Nothobranchius furzeri: one gene and its partners. The protein of the gene in region 1 interacts with the protein of each later gene in a biochemical or structural test. Links are inferred from orthologs where the notes say so. Each region holds a gene or a part of one and is shown on either strand. Other genes may lie near its edges.

Region 1 (4,585 bases):
TGCCTTCACCGGGATAAGCTGCGTGGTCTCAACTACGAGCTCCTCTTCCTCCTGCTCTTCCTCCTTCACTGGCTTCATGTCCTCAGTCTGCCCCAAAGACAGGATTAGTTTGTCCTCTTGGATCCCACTGTTGGACAACCACAAGATGTCAGTATGCTACTTTCTGATCCGATATCTCCACATGACATGACGATACTAGTGCAAGTACCTGAGGACAAAGTTGACACAGACGACACACTGTGGCTGTGAGTTCTTGTTGTTGTAGATAACGGTGGCCTGCGTTTCCACCCAGACAAAGCCTCCTCTTTTGGCCAACATCCGGTACTGACCTGTGGTGACCTGGCCCTTCGCAAACACTGCAAACAGCAGAAAACACGGTCAAAAGTCACGAAATAAACAGCGACGTTTTCCAATTTTACTCTAGATCTATGCTCTTTGTGCTTACAGTGGTGGTGAGTCTTTGTGAGGTGGTCAGAGTCCAGAGCGTGATAGTACTCGTACACAGAACGATTCAGCAGGTCTTCTGGATCGTATCCCATCAGCTCAGTGATCCTGGGAACAGAAACAATGTTGTAGTACCCACACTGAGCACTAGGTGTCCCCGTGGGACTCCAGATTCTCTCACCTCTCATCACAATATGTGAACTTCATGTCCATGGTGTGGCGGCTGAGGAACGTCTTGGTGTCCAGAGGGACCTCGATGTTGGAAGGGTGGGGGATGGGGTCACAGATCAGAACCAGGTAGGGGAGCAGTGGCTCCATCTGCTCTGCTCGATGGTCATGAACACACATGTGACCCGAGCAGTGAAGGACCTACAGAAACACGTTTTCAAACCAAGAGGGAAACTTTAATCTTTCTGTAATTATTATTTTTTACTTTAAGTAACTTTTTTAATTTAGGAGCCCGAGATGCTCCACAGCTTCAACACTTCTTTACCTTCCATGTAGCCGACTTGACATTAACCGTGCGACCTCTGCTTGTGAGGGTGCATTTCATCCTCAGAAAGAAATTCCGTTCATTATTTGGTTCCTTGCTTTTTTTGGAGCCTGGAATCACAAAATTAAACAGATATGAATCCAGAGTGAGGCAGAGTAAGCCAGCAGTAGATTGCTCTTTTTTATTGGTCCCAACTCAACAATCTACAAACTGCCAACTGATAAAATTTGCATCAAAAGGAGACATTTGCTCTGATGCTGTGGCCTTGTGGTGAGCTAGAGGATAAAATGGAAATAGCTACCAGCAGTTAGAGCCGAGGCGGTATCAGTGAGCAAAGAAATAACAAAAAACACAGGTCCTAAATGTAAGAGTGAACCGAAGCAGAGAGAAGATTCAGCAAAACTTATCTCACTAACGAGAAGCAAAGCAAAGATCTGTTATTGATGATTAAAAGGTCGGAAGATTACTCAGCCACTGCTCAAAACCGGAGTGGATTTTTGTGTCGTTACTAAGCAGAGCTGACCACAGAGTGAGTTGGACTTTCTACCATCTGGAGCACCAACACACCCGACAGAGAGCTCTGTGTGTGCGCGTCTCGGTTTCTCTACACATTTGTACTCTTCAGTGCAACACTGCTCACCTGTTCTACAGAGGAGCATCTCTCTCAGCTCCTCCTGGTCGCAGGGATGTGTGAAGTCAAACACACTGTGGCCAGTCAGGTCAAACTGCAAAGGCAAACAAACAGAAATATACTTTTAAAACACAAATATATAAATAGAGCTACCAAGAAGTATTCATTTAAAGCTTAAAAATGTGCACTTATTTTTTAATTCCCTGCTTCAGACCCACCTGCGCCAGCCCAAGACACTTGCTGACATTCTCCGAGAGATAAATCATATCGCCGTCTTCAGACAGCACCATGAGGAAGCCCTCCAACGCCTTCAGGTAGGACCCGTTCAGCTGAACATCAAGCTCAGTTTCCCCCTCTTCCATTGGCTTATCTGGAGCATTGAGAGAGGGAGCAAGGTGGGTGATAAGCTAAAGGACAAATAACCGGTTCAAACAGCTGCAGACACAGAAAAACCACTCCTCTAGCCCCAGGTGTTTCTGCAGAGAGATTATGGCAGAATACGCAGTACCTCCTTTGTGTTTTCCACTATAGGCTACATGTAAATGAAGTGAATTACTCTGAAGTCAACAAGATAACAAATATGACAAGCATACTGCAGGTACATGGTTAACAGAGCAGTGGAATGGTTTATAATCATCTGTCGCTACAGATGCTGACCACTGCAGAGAAGGTTCCTCATGCGCAGGTAGCTGATGGTCAGCCTCATGATGGAGGCCTTGTCCAGGCTTGAGCTGGTGCTGTGGGGGAGAGGCAGCTGCTTGGCCAGCTCATAGAACACCTCCGACTCCTTCCCACGGCGGCATCTTGCTGCATCCCTTGATTTCTCCTTCCTGCGCTCCGAGCTCACCCTGCAGGAGACAGGAGGTGGATCAGCCTCATGCTGGGTTTGTTAAACGTAAAAATCCCTTTTCCCAAAACTGAAACATGTCTGCAGAGGCCAGCGCAGCTGGAGCATTCAACAGGCTGTCTCAGCCCAGCCAGTGCAATGCAAGCGTCCTATTGGCTGCTGAACAAACGAAATAGGACTCGCCCACTCAAATGACTACACAGGAAAGAGTCAGAGCTCAGCCATCCCCCCACCCCCATCCCACACACTGATTCAGACATTTTACAGTGCCATTTCGGCTAATGTGACCACCGCTGAATCAAAGCAGGGCTATTGATTCTTCAAGTGACTGAAATCACTACACTATAAAAACTTAATGAGACAAAATTGTTAGATTCAAGGTAAGAACAAGAAGGGGTGCATCAAATGGCCGCTTTCATTCAAAAAATGGTTGTGGGTTTAATATTATTTTGAATGATGTTTGCTGTTGTCTTGATTCAGAATCAAAAACAAAAGAAAAACAGACGATATTTGGAGAAGGAAGGCCTTTTGACACAACACTGGTCTCGCTCGGCGGCCATGTTTAAAATGTTCACTTGTTCACTCTTTTTATTGCTCATTGTCAATGGCGTGTCCAGTGAGTGGTCTGGAGCAGCATTTGCCACTCTTGGAATCTGACTGGCCACCCCAATGAGTTCCACTTAAATTGACATTAAGTTGTCCACAAAAAAATAAGGGTTAACCCCTAAAACAGTAGTCGACAGTATGGACTTTTAACATTAGTTTCTAGTCACAGGCCTACAGAACATTTGTGTATTATTAATTATTGTTTTCATATTGACAAAAATAGTATTCATAGTCCTGGTCCAAACTCACTCCAGTAGATGGCGGTAATGCACCAAGAAGTGGCTTGCTAACCACCTCAAAACAAGAAGTTGAAGAATAATGCAAAAATGTATTATTTTGTGAGGGGTGACAACCCCGCAGATCAAAACAAAAAGTATAACTATAGGTGCCACCCATGCATAAATTAGTGCCCCACTGGAGCCACCCATTTTAAAAGGCCTGGACACGCCACTGCAAATTGTGCCTCCATTATGTGCTTATAAAAAAATTTTTTTAAAGTCTGTGCTGTACTTCCTGTTCCACCTTATGTTGCTCAACATTGCGGTAAATAAACATAAACAAAATCGATTTAGAAAAACCGCGATGCCTCAAAAAACAGATTTCATCTCCCATTCATATGCCATAAATTTATATCACCAATCTTTGTTGCAAACTGCACCTCAGTAAGTTGAAATACATTTAGATGACATGTGAGCAGCCAGACGACCAAATGAACAGCTTAAAAACCCACAGCTATGAAATGCACACCTGATTGAAATTGATCTGGCACGCACTTACAGCACTGAATAAGGCCCTTTTGTTTTTGCCAGAAAATAGACCAGATAATGTAATTTGCAGGAGGCTAATTTTAGTTAACAGGCAGGCTGTGTTTCACACGAAAGCTTTCCATTACACACACGTGATGCACAAACCGATCCACGATAAAGCTAATTGGTCCTCTGCGGCTGGAAGATTTTCAATGCTGAGCCGAATCACCGTCCCTCGGGAAATAGGCTAGGTGCTGATTTAATCTAGCGAAAAGCATGTGGGTCAAAATTTCTATTCGGTGACATGAACACACAAACAGAAAAACACTCAGTGTTGCTGCTATTAAGTTCCATTTACAATTGGGAAGCTACAAAGTTATGCCAACGTAAATACTTTCTTCCTTCAAAGTCAGCGTTCACATTCGGAGGGAATTATATTCCAACTCATCCCAAAAAATTATTAGCATCCCATCCATGAGACACACGGGAAAACCATTTCTGCAAAGTGACGAGTCCAGTTTTATTCGCCACACCGTTGTGAACCTCGCACTCACAATAATGACTGATAAATACTCGTCTGTAAAATAGTAGTGGCTGTTCAGTCCCTTTATGGGAGTCCTGTAACATCTGACTAAAATACAACTTCATGTAATGGAGACAAGGTTCATGTGGAAGACAAAGCCCCCCCCCCCACCCCCCCCCCCCCACACACACAGGTGGTGAATGTATTCATACTAAACAGCAGATTGTCTAAAGTAGGGGTCTGAAGCCCTTAGTACCTTCCACAATGGCTGCTAATAACAGAGGCTAAAACAATA
Region 2 (4,099 bases), on another chromosome or scaffold:
CAGTGTGACCAATGTGGTTGGTCTTCAGCTTGCAGTTGGCCAGGTTCCACACCTGAGAGGCATCACACCCGAGACAGAACAAACATCAACATCCAACATGGAAGCTAATCATAAAAAAGGTTGTCTTACGCAAGTAGTCAGCTAATAAATGCAAACTAAGTTAAACCATCTAACCAGGACCAAACATTAGCAAATTACTAGTAAACCATACCTTGACCACCTTGTCCCAGCCACAGGAGACAATGATGGGGTTGCTGCTGTTGGGGGAGAAGCGAACACAAGACACCCACTCAGAATGGCCTTCATCCTGCAAAATCAAGTTTGAACAGTTTAAAGTTCAGCTCATCCCAACAATGGCTCACTTTAGCTCATGTAACCACCGAGACTTATTCCATGATCCTGACACACTACACACTTAAAACCATCATACAGATTTAGTCCACAATGCTCCAGCTGATGGCTGAGCTGTGTGCTCTACCTCAGAAAATGTAAAACTAGTTAAAAAAAAAAAAAAAAGCTTGAACAAAAACTAAATGAAAACCAAAGAAGGAACAGCTCTAAGCAGCAGCAGCAGCAGCATTAAGTGACAGCTCACCTGAATGGTGTACTTGCAGACTCCAAGAGTGTTCCACAGCTTGATGGTCTTGTCTCGGGAGCCAGATACAATCTGACGGTTATCAGCAGAGAAAGCCACACTCAAAACATCCTTTGTGTGTCCAACAAACTGACGGGTGGTGGTGCCACTAGAAAAACACAAGATTAAGACGTCCGATTAGAATAAAGCTATATTAAGTTTACAGTTTAAAATGCCTGCCCTCCTCTACTAATTATGGCCTCTACAAGCTACAGTCATTTAAGGAGTTAAAACAGTTTTTTTCCCCACTTGTATTCAAACAAATCACTTTAGTACACAAACCTTAATGCCGATCAATGACAATTTTTTTTAGGTTCAGTTTATATCGGGTTCCAGCACTTTAGCCAGAATCAAATTCCAGCTCCTCACTTAGATGATTAAAACTGTTCAAACATGGACTGTAGTTTTATTCCTGTATAAACCCCAAACCCATTTATTTAGATCTACTGTTCTCTTAAGTCACAACTAAGGAGTGTATAAAGTGATGAAGGTGTAGTAAGGACAATAACACTGTGGAACAACAGTGTCGGGTACAAGAAACTGGGAGAATTTATTTTATAGGATCTCTGACAAACATTGTAATTGTATATAACTGCATTTTTAAATGTCTGCTGTTTATTATTTAGTGCGAGATTACTGAAGTTCTATCTGTGGTACAAAACACTAGTATAAAAAGCTGTTGCACGGTCATGTACACGCAAATGAAGTTTGTTCACCAAGATTGGGTTTACACATGGTGTAGCTTAACTAGATGTCATTTCCCAACTGTTTTATGGCTTAAGTTATGTTCCCTGGCAACTTGGTATTTAGAGGTCATAAGTGCTGAAATGTTTGTAGCTCTAGTAACAAATACGCATTAGCGCGGACTGTGTGTTAACATCGGTTCAAACACATTTTCATTTATAGAACAAAGGTGACAAATCATATCTTTAAAACTATCCAGGATGTTTGTTACAACTTAAATTTAGAAAGGACATACTTCCAGCTAATACAAACATGCAAGTCTTTACCAACTTACTTATTTCTAAAAAGAAAAGCATTAACTAGTTTAAACTGTGTTCCACATAGATGCTTAGATGATGCAGATCAAGGGTCAGCAACTTTTTTCCTTGAGGGGTACCATCCTGCAAGTTCCACACGTTTCCTGCTCTAAAGGACCCAGATTAACTGATTTCATCACAACCTTCCTAAGTTGACTTCTCTAGATGCTCTCACACATTTAAATATGTTGGGAGCAGGTAAACGGGTAAAGAGATATATTTACAGGACAGCGGATCTGATGTAGAAGCTTTCTTCCTAGCTGTACTTACGTGGTGAGGTCCCACAGTCGGAGGGAGCCGTCCCAGGCGCCTGAGAGAGCAAACTGTCCATCCGAGGAGATGACAACATCACTTACAAAGTGAGAGTGGCCCCTCAGAGAGCGCTGAGGGATCCCATAGTTGGTCTCGTCACGAGTCAGCTTCCACATGATGATGGACTTGTCTGAAAGTTTAACACATAAGGTTCAGGACTCAGGAGTATTGCCTAAAGCAAAGAGCAGGTAGGTAGCATTAGCATGCGAAGCTAGCACTTAAGTTAATATCAAGTTAATATCACATTGCAGCGCTTGGTTCAAGGCCTTATAACCTCATGTCAAGTAGTCTGATGTTTAACTGGATGAATCAGTGTCGGTGCTATGTTGGTGTAAACCCAGGAGTGAAACACAGTAGATCCAGCTAATGACGCTAGAAAGCACAAGTTTAACTACACCAGGTTTCCTCCACTTCTGAAGTCGCAAATGTTCACTATAAGCGATTAATGAGCCTTTAGGCTGTTGTAATCACATTTCAGCGGTCTTCTGCCACTTCCGCAAAAATCGTATTTTTGTAACATTACCAAAGAGTCACTGCTAGCTTACAAAGCTAGCTGTAGCCATGTTGGCGGCTGCCGGCGGGGGAAGCCTCACCTCGGGACGCCGACAGAATCATGTCGGGATACTGAGGGGTAGTGGCGATCTGGGTGACCCATCCACTGTGGCCCTTCAGGGTCCCCCTCACTGTCATCTGCTCGGTCATTTTGACGAGGTTCGGTGGTGCCTTTTACAAGGATGGATTCGGATATTTCTCAGGTTCGTAAAAACCTAGGTCCTCATCGCATCTAGGCACGGAGGAAAAGGAAGTACAGACCCGGATGCAAAAACTAAGAGGGGTGAAGGGCTCGCAGAGCATTCTGGGATATGTTTTTTTCCCCAAGTCATCCAAGTGTGCTACAAGAAAAGACTGAAGGGGACTGTTTAGAAACATGATAAAACATTTCACTTACAACACATCACCATTATATATAAGTAATACACACTGATTTGGTTATTGGTAACAGCTGTGCACATCCCTGATATGTTTCTGTCTGAATGAATAAAGGAAATTAAGCTCTTACGAAACATAGCACCAGTAAAATAAAATGTCTGTGATGGACACAAATTTTCTGATTTTAGAATATTCTATATTTTACAAACGTCCGTATTTTTTATACTTTATGTTACACACACACACACACACACACACACACACACACACACACACACACACACACACACACACACACACACACACACACACACACGAGCTTTAATCCCATAATATTTGTTTCTTTTCATGTGAAAGGCGGCTTTAAAGTTGACGCCTTGATATATTTTATACCAGGGATGTCCAAACTTTCCTAGATAAGAGCCAAAATCAGCAAGTTAACTGTCCTTGTAGGCCACAACATATACATTTTTTAAATGCTAAAAATATTTATTCTTGCATTTGTACTCCCTAAAATTTGTCAAAATGGACTATTAAGTTTGAACATACAATGTTGGGGGGGGGGGGGGGGGGGACGACAGTGACATAAATTGCTCCAAGGGCGACAAATGAGGGCCACATACATGCCTGCTCTATACTTGTGTACTGATTAACAAACAATCTTTAAAATTTGAATTTTCATTTCATTTCACTTTATTTGTAAAGTCTCTTGTATTTATTTATTTATTTATTTATTGGTTCTTTTTTAAACACAGAGAAGAAAACTTTTCTTTCCTGTGTTTAAAAGAGAACCAAAAAAAAAATACAAGTTAAAAAGACCCAGAATGAATGCACAGAAGATTGTAATGTCCCTTCCACAATCTCATCAAACACCCAAGGTGCTGGACAATACAGCAGGCAACAAGTACAAATAAGACAATATAAAACAACCATAAAAACATATAACCTAATAAAAAAAGGCCAATTACAGACAAGACAATGATGCCACGCTACAAAATAATTAATGTTTTATCTCACATGTTGAACAACATTTGGAATCCTTCAATTTCCAGGCTTTCTACTGGTATGTTTTATGAATAATCTGATATTTCTATATGTAAACTACTGCACAGCTACACTATTTCAACACTGTTACATTAGGCTGAAGTGAGAATATTGGTAACAGTGTTGTGTGCTTAGAAAA
Region 3 (4,051 bases), on another chromosome or scaffold:
CCAGAGGAGCTGGTCCAAGTGGATGGGGAGAGGGAAGTCTGAGCCTCCTGCTTAAGCTTGGTTTATGCTTGACGCATTCACTTTCCACTTGGTGATGCGGCTCGCGGCTGGAACGCGCTTCACAACTCGCAGCGTTTATGGTTCGTGCGGCTTGTCTCTGCGGTGAGCCAATATTCTCCCAAACTGTAGGGGGCAGCATGGAGCTCTACAGCATGCATCCAACACTACACCATAGTAGAAGTAGAAATTACTGTTTACAACATGGCATTCCAGCATTTTTAACAGCGTCCTCGTCTTTTCCGTCAGTGCGAGCTTTTTCTCTCCAAGAATTATTAACAACATGTTGATCACGGTGATCTCTGAGAGCTGAATCATACAAATGTCTGTATTTACGAACCTCTGCCATACTACAGTAGTTCTTGCCGGTCCGCCATGTTTTTCCGTGTCCGACCGTCCGCGTGGTTAGAAAATTTCCTAGGTGCGTGTTGCGGAAATTTTGGGCCGTGCGGTGGTGCGGTGGAGGGGCGTGGTTGTTAAGATGATGCAAAATGACGCAACTTTTCCGAGCAGAGCCGTGTGGACCTCGCGGACGCGTCAAGCATAAACCAACCTTTAGGCTACTGCCCCCGCGACCCAACCCCTGATAAGATCAGAATTCATCAATTTTCGGCTGCTTAAGTTTTTTTTTTGACAAGCCGCTTCTAAAGGAATCTATCCTCCACCCTGTGAACTGTTTGGTGATCTGAGCTCCAGCTGTAATGGAGAAAAGCTCCAGGTGCTCTGCACTGCTCCAGTTTACCGTCTCAGCTGATTCTATTAACAAAAGTAAAATTGACTGCCCATGTGTAATTTCCTTTTCAATATAGTTGCCGGCAGCAGCTCTGCGGACATTCCACACGTGATCATGACACCACCCTCTGTTGCACCATGGCTAATCTTCAAAATCTTCATTCACACGTCCAGAGTTAATGTAATATTACAACCAAGCTTGGTGGCAACAAAGTTCATGCTTCGTCATGATGCCATAGCGCTTTCATAAGGCCCACTGTGGCGGCAGTATTACTTTGATTTGATGGCGTGGTGTGTCTTATGAAATCGTTTAGAATAACCGAGAGAGTGCTAAACACCAGTCGCCATTTTCTAGGTCCAAAAGCCTTTTGTTGAACATGATTTCAAATGATGTTTTTCTGTTTGGGACTCTGGTAGTGTGTTCTAAAGCTGTTTTTCCTTCTCTGATATTGAGTGGAGTACCTCTCATACCAGTGGTGTTCTGTTGCAAAATATGCAAATGTGTAATGAGTGGTCCAATAGTTGCTTTCAGGCCGTGTTGTGTTATTGGCAGAGGTATTTAGACAAATGCAAGAGAACACCTCATTATTTCCAACTGCACAAAATATTTATAGCTATACAATGTTAAAATGTCAATATGCATGAAAAAAATGTTTAAGTTAGCTTGTTTAGCATATCTGACATTGTAGCTTTCATGGAGAATTTGAGTGAAATTCATAAAGAGTCCAAGTTTTGAAAGCTATACTGACCTGAAATATTTCACTTTTTCCCATGAATTAATTAGTTGGACATGTGATTGACTGGTGACCGGTCAAGGAGTTCGCCAATTGATACTGAAGACAAGAATTAGCTCCCTGTGACCTTTTACCACATCAAGCAGGTAAAGACGATGGAAAAATGGATGACTGGATGCACGGTGACCCAGAAAACAGTCCAGCTGATTTAGTTTCATTCGCTGCCCCATTCTATTCCTCATCCCTTTGAACTCTTGGCATTATTAAGAATGACGAATGGAAGGAGAAATAAAGTTCAAACCGTAGTATCTTTACTGCGAAACATTGCCAACTCAAGTTTGACGACTTTTAAAAAAGGAAAGAAAAAAAATCACACAACAGGCATTTAAAACAACCTTTCAGGCCTAAAATTTATGCTAATGCCAACTCCACGTGGGAGACCTGCCATGCACACTTCTGCTGCCATTACAACTAGCAGTCAATTTATTTCAACATAAGATTATTGAACGGGTATATCTGAATGTATATAGTTACTACAGTTGAATCTCCTCGGACTGATCCACCCCATAACAGTTTCCTTCATTTATCAAAAGTCATTCTCACGTTTTAGAAGATCAATCCTGAAGACTTTGATACAAAGAGGAAATCTGGTCCTATTTCTTGTACAAAAACAGCATATTAAAAACCATCTTAACAGTGTTGTGAAACTATTTCAAGCTTTTCTTCTCTTGACTCGCCTCTTTGTGCAAAATGTTTCAGGTATATTATTTACTACTCACATCTATTTTTAGAGATAAAAGTTGGAGGTCACGTGCATTTAACCTCGGTAAACAATCACCTGACTTTTGGTGCAAGTGTTCTCGTTCAGGAGACCAACAATCTGCATTAATACACATCTCCCTAAAGTATACGTGCGTTCATTCATATCCAGCATGGTAATCTGAGCTCTGCTGCACGTGGCTCACACCTGCAAATCTGCGCTCTTACCTTTACAAGTTTTCCGCAACATTCGCAAAAAAGATCAGCATCTTTTTCAAACATCGTGGTAAAACTGAACAAACGGAGCGTCGGTTCGGTTCGGGACAGCAGACCGGTATCCAAACAGGACGAGAGAGCGCTCAGCTCACCTACCGGACTTTCATCACTGCTGCGTGCAGGGAAAAGCTTTTATTTACCTCCCTGAGGAGCCGGACGGTGATAACGCGAGCGAGCACGCGCCTCTCTGCGCGATTAAACATCAACCCGTGACGCTGCACCCCCACCGCGTAAAGCATGAAAATAGACTAACTAGCAAAAGGCAGAGTAGAGGGGAAAACCAGCGAAGGCATGTCAGAACTCACGGGGTCGGTCCATAGCGGAGTCCGCATAGCCCCCTGTCAGGGTCCGCGCCGTCCGGCCAACAGGTCCGTCTATTCCCCATTAATTAGAAACCAGCTCTTTTGTGGATCGCATGTGCACTTATCCGGTAGGTGTTTCTACAAACTCCCGCAGTTTTATTTGTTTAATAATGACTTTAAAAATAAGGTTGCATTGTCTCCTTGACAATGATAACTCCTCCCTTAGGGCAACATCTTGTCTTTTATTGTTGTCCAAATCATTTGTTTATCAACCTTCAGATCAAAACTAAATGAAGTCGCCCTCCTCCCTCAAAAGGGGCTTAAAGCAACGTCATTCAACATCATCGTCTGAGGGGGAATTGGGTTTATTTTCTATCACGATTTTGAGAAATAACAGAAAACCATCCATCAGATGTGCAAACGTATGATTCATTCATAAATCAGAGAGGGCAGGGACTGGCACTGAGCCCCATGTTACAGAATCTGTTCTGATCAATGAGCAGAATGAGAGAATCATCATGTACCTGTCCTGTTAATCAGATCATATAGTGACACATGTCCTGAAATGCTTAAAACTCAGTCTCACCAAAGCAAATTATTGAAAACTTAGACCCCTCCCCTTCCACATGGCTAAGTTTAGTTATTACCTGATCATAAAGATGTTTCCAGTCAGCTACAAATCAAGTTTTCACTCATTTAAAAATAGCCTACCTCTCTGGTCACCTTTGCGAGTGTCCTCATCTTCCAGCTCATTGTTGTTCAGTGGCTTCCAGGCAGCTGCTGTCCTCTGAAAAGATCAGTCACACTTAGATCCAAAGAAGAGGATGCTCAGTGAAGACCACAGGAATAAAAAGCAGCTATTATTCAACGAAAATTCCTTGGGACGTTCATTTTGCTGAAAAGCTCAAGAATAATCATGTTTGGAGTTAAATGTTATGACTTTACTCACTCGTTGATTAAAACTGGCCTGGTTTCCCAAGAACAAAGCTCAGTCACAGCTCAGTGTCAGCAGAACAGCAATGGAAACCTAACTCCACATTTGACTGAATATAGTGTAAAGCAACTCATTAACTTACCGATGATACTCAGATCCAAAAAGGCTCTGACGCAGGCCTATCCGTGTTTCCTTGGTCCATGAAGTCCACGGGTCCTTCTTAGCTGGTGTCTTTAAAGCCAATTCTATTGTTCATG
Region 4 (4,249 bases), about 9.3 Mb from region 1:
CGCAGTTTTCCGACCCCGTTTTGTGCGTAAGCAAGCCTGATAAATGAGGCCCCAGAACTTAGAGATGTGGTGGAATGGGAGATTCATCGTGTATGTTGCTATGTGATGCAGTCATGTTAATTTGGACCAACATGGACTCTGAGAAATGCATCTATAATCTTGTAGAATTCATTTCTGAAGGCATCTGCCTCCAGTAAGCTGTACCTAATAAAGTGACCAGTGGGTGGATGCATTTTAGGGGAACATTTTGCTGATTGGCTTGTTGCAGTTCTGAAAAATACCAACTAGCAGAGTCACCACAGCTTCCAGTAGAAACAGGGGCTTAATAATGGACTCCTGCTCCACAAATGCTGGGAACGAGAGATTAGAGCTAATTCTGTAATCTTGCACGAAAAGGCTTTTAAGACACTAATTTCAGGTTTTGGCACTTAATATTCTCACAGTTAATTTCTCAACATGTAGACACAAATAATTTAAATACATTTTACAACAAAAAGGACAGAATCAAAAAGGAAATCTACTTTTACTCTGATCAAGAAAAACAGACATTTTACATGTTAGCTGCTGTTTATCAGATGTGATGCTGCACCGCCTCTCAAAACTCTGGGTGTTTTTTCTCATAACGACGTTATTCAAGCAGATCAGAATCGGATGCAGGAAATAAAAGAATATTTTAAAATGAAATGCGTTTTAAGAACAGGTGCAGATTTTCTGTTGCAGCTCGAGTGGTTTGCACGGAGTTGAAGATAGCGGTTTTACATTAAACCTCAGGGAAAAAAGTTTGGACAGGGCTGCAGTTGATGGAATAAAATATGATTTGTGAGATTTCCCAAAACGTCACAGAAAACCTACTGCTGCAGCTGCGTGTGTGTGTGTGTGTGTGTGTGTGTGTGTGTGTGTGTGTGTGTGTGTGTGTGTGTGTGTGTGTATTTTACCTCAGCTGTTATGTAGATTAAACAAACCCTATTCTTAAGCTTGACACAACTTCTGTATAACAAACAATTATTAAGCATGGTCCTTTATTAGCCAATCACATTCATTTCAGGATGCATGCCCACTGACTAAATCCCTCCAATAAAAATTCTGGATTTCTACAATTTATAATAATAAAATCAAACCACCACGTACAGTTCCTCTTCCCATTTACTCAGCAATTTACTGAACTAGGTCTGAACTTGGTGGTCTGACACACTTCTTCAACATATTTTTTGGATGGGGACACAAGGAAAAAGGTGATACAGGCAGCAGATGAGTGGTTTGTGGCCAGCACAGTTAAAAAAATAAAAATAAAAAGACATCAAAGCCCAAGGATGCTTCTTATTATCTTGTAAAATTGCAGCCATCTCTTCAAGGGCAGCTCTTTGTTGTGATGCTGCTCTGAAAGGATCCTTGTTATCAGGCCTCATTTCTGGCCTTTTTTTAATCTAGATTATTACAACAGAAGAAAAATAATCCCAAAGTGTGTTTACTCAGCAATTAATAAGAGTTCATTGTTGTGGTTTCAGTTCAGTTTGGCCAAATTCAATTATTACTAGGTTTACTAGACAGACTCAACAATATTTTACTAAAATAACAACTTAAGACGTAAATGTGAGTGGTTTAGTGCCATTTGATATATATCACTTGCTGGAGTAAAGTGAAGTAACATGTGTTCCAAAATGTGCATTTTCAGCTAATAAACAAACAGCAAAGGAAAATAATCTTTGCACAACTGGTTTGAAAAACCTAGCGCATCAATAAAACTGAGTGGCATGAAGAAACTGAACAAAGTGACATTTGGTGACTGAATTGTTAACTTTCTACCCCTCTCTGGACTAATCCTGTTCTCACGCAGGTAGGCCTCCTTTAATTTGATATATGACGTTCACTTTGGGCTATTTCTGATGCTGTATCCGAGCCAAGTACAGTCACAGCATCCCTGAATTACAGAACAGTTGTCAGAGTAAATATGTGGTAATGTACAACAACACAGAAACGCTCACTATACAACATCATTCCAAACAGGAGTGGACACTAATCTGGGCACTAAAGTATGTGGAAAATAAATAAATAAAAACAAAAAGATCACGATTGGACACTGCCACGTGACTATCTTACACCTGTCTTACCTGAGTGGGACTCAAGAATCTTCATTAGGTATTAAGAGACTCCCTGGATGTGCAAAAAGCTTAATCTGGAATATTTTGTTGGTCATTTCTACATTTAAAGTGTTAAAACTAAATGTAGTGTAAAGTTTTTGTCCCGGCTGCCTCCTTGCATTGATGCCTATGCGGTTCCAGTAAAGTACTCACGATGTTCCTTACAGGAGGCAGCAGAAAGAACAATAGTTAGGTGAAACTTTCAGAAAACCCGTGACATGTTATTTAAAATAAACTAAACCGTCATGGAGGGTTCAGGTGTGCCAGAACACCGAGATGGCTCTCTGGGTTCATTAAGGGGGAAAACAGCAAAAGAAGCAAATGTTTAAGAGAACCGCTCGCTGCTCTTCATCACCATCCTCCTCCTCCTCACCATCATCTGCGAGAAGCACAAAGCTCTCCCAGCTTACGGAAATGTTTTTAAAAGACGAGCCACGCTCATAACGAGCTTCCGTGGGTAATGGCGAGTCCGCCGAGTAAAAACGCCACACGGCTCCGAAACGCAAACGCCCCAAAGCTTACCTCCAACCCGGTACATGTTGGCTGCCATGACTGCCCCCGGTCCCGGGCTTCCTCTCCAGGTAGAGGGGTGGCTCTCTGCTCTCTCCCGCTGCCGGAGCTGTGTGTTGGAAAATGGTGGATTGATCAATACGAAACAGACTGCCCGAGAGACCTTAAAGAGACAGTACACCTTTTCAGGAAACCCAACTTATCGGCACGGATAACAAAGGGCGCGTTAATCTCACTACTTATTACCTTTATAACATCGTCAGTGGCTAACTACGCCATTATTTCTTAATATATATCTCAATATGCGTCACAGTCACCGCAGTAGCCCACCGCCTTTCGGTTTAGTCGTGTTTTTGTTAATAGTTAAAGTAGTTATCTGGTAGTTAGAATAGTTATTAAGATAAAGTAAACTCGCCTGTTTTTGTAACTTTGTCCCAATTTTTTGTTCTCCCTCATCAACTGAAATATCGCGAGATTTGAGAGTAAACCCCTTTACGTGACCTCTGGGTCACGCTTGACGTTAGAAGGGGTGTAATTAATAATTATTTTATCGTCTACACTGCTGTGCTCAGTGAAATCAACAATTTAATTATTTTGCTATAAAAATGCAAACTGAATGCAATATATTTTAAATAAGCCCCAAAACTCAAGGAGTTGACCCACTAATTTCCCTTCCCTGGGACAAATAAAGCTTTTCATTCATTTCATTCGTCATTCACTATGTTTATGAACTGTACAAGGAGTTCATGGGGATTGTATATAGAAATGTATCATGGGTTTATTCGCTCATTTAATTCATTTCCAAATATGTGTATTATTTTAAAAGAAGCAGTTTAACTCTCATCTTATTCTGAAGGTGTTTACCGGCCTTAACAACACTAGCAGAACAATCTGTACAGATCATTTTATTAGCAAAAATTTACACGTACAAGTGAATTGTATCAGTGACTGAACCAAAATAAGGACACATACTGCTGTTGCCTAGACGTCAATGCGCAAAATAAAGTACACAGTGTTCTATCGAGGCAAAAACATGCCAAGTGACTCATGGAATGATAATTTGGAACATGCAAGGTTTTAACATTATAAAAAATATCCAGGGATTTCCATGACTCAATAGTTAAATGTTTGCGTTTATGTTGTCTTTTGTTGAAATGGTAAAGGAGAAATGTACTGTAGCATAATCCACCATACAAAATAAATTATACATTTGCTCTGCTTTTGTTATTTTCCCAACACAAACACATACTCTTCTTGGATCCTTGCAGCATGTTGCTACTTATGTATAAATAATACATAAATTGCCTCAAACACCCTGCAAGAGAAATTCTTCTGCTGTCAGAGAAATCATTAGCAAGTGTTAAATATGAGTGACACTCTGTGATGAGAGAATGCAGCATGGTTTTTCCACAGCTTTGTTTTTAAATCTGGATGTGAGTGTAGAGCCTCAGTGCAGGAGGAATGCTGTGGTGAACGCTACATATGATCTATACCATATGGAAGCTTCAATTACTGTGGCCTAACACAAGGGACTACAGTCTGCAGTCACATGACTGTTGCGGGCCAATCGTGTGTAGTTGCAGTGTGCACTCGTTAAGTGT

The links. The genes of interacting proteins can lie anywhere in the genome.
Region 2: the proteins of hif1aa (region 1) and rack1 form a complex in vitro, tested with the Homo sapiens proteins (2 studies listed by BioGRID). The link is inferred for Nothobranchius furzeri from reciprocal best matches to the Homo sapiens genes HIF1A and RACK1.
Region 3: the proteins of hif1aa (region 1) and epoa form a complex in vitro, tested with the Homo sapiens proteins (2 studies listed by BioGRID). The link is inferred for Nothobranchius furzeri from reciprocal best matches to the Homo sapiens genes HIF1A and EPO.
Region 4: the proteins of hif1aa (region 1) and mta1 form a complex in vitro, tested with the Homo sapiens proteins (2 studies listed by BioGRID). The link is inferred for Nothobranchius furzeri from reciprocal best matches to the Homo sapiens genes HIF1A and MTA1.

The regions. Positions count from the first base shown.
Region 1 is NC_091758.1:31,049,287-31,053,871, forward strand, and holds part of hif1aa (hypoxia inducible factor 1 subunit alpha a), read right to left. Parts: intron 2,417-4,585; coding exon 2,226-2,416; intron 1,939-2,225; coding exon 1,787-1,938; intron 1,663-1,786; coding exon 1,578-1,662; intron 1,048-1,577; coding exon 938-1,047; intron 814-937; coding exon 626-813; intron 553-625; coding exon 446-552; intron 357-445; coding exon 209-356; intron 128-208; coding exon 1-127.
Region 2 is NC_091741.1:97,232,498-97,236,596, forward strand, and holds the start of rack1 (small ribosomal subunit protein RACK1), read right to left. Parts: upstream 2,801-4,099; 5' UTR 2,689-2,800; coding exon 2,580-2,688; intron 2,117-2,579; coding exon 1,945-2,116; intron 744-1,944; coding exon 596-743; intron 308-595; coding exon 212-307; intron 53-211; coding exon 1-52. UniProt on the Homo sapiens protein: Scaffolding protein involved in the recruitment, assembly and/or regulation of a variety of signaling molecules. Interacts with a wide variety of proteins and plays a role in many cellular processes.
Region 3 is NC_091742.1:83,888,565-83,892,615, forward strand, and holds the start of epoa (erythropoietin), read right to left. Parts: upstream 2,801-4,051; 5' UTR 2,533-2,800; coding exon 2,511-2,532; intron 1-2,510. UniProt on the Homo sapiens protein: Hormone involved in the regulation of erythrocyte proliferation and differentiation and the maintenance of a physiological level of circulating erythrocyte mass.
Region 4 is NC_091758.1:21,770,813-21,775,061, forward strand, and holds the start of mta1 (metastasis-associated protein MTA1), read right to left. Parts: upstream 2,801-4,249; 5' UTR 2,689-2,800; coding exon 2,661-2,688; intron 1-2,660. UniProt on the Homo sapiens protein: Transcriptional coregulator which can act as both a transcriptional corepressor and coactivator. Acts as a component of the histone deacetylase NuRD complex which participates in the remodeling of chromatin.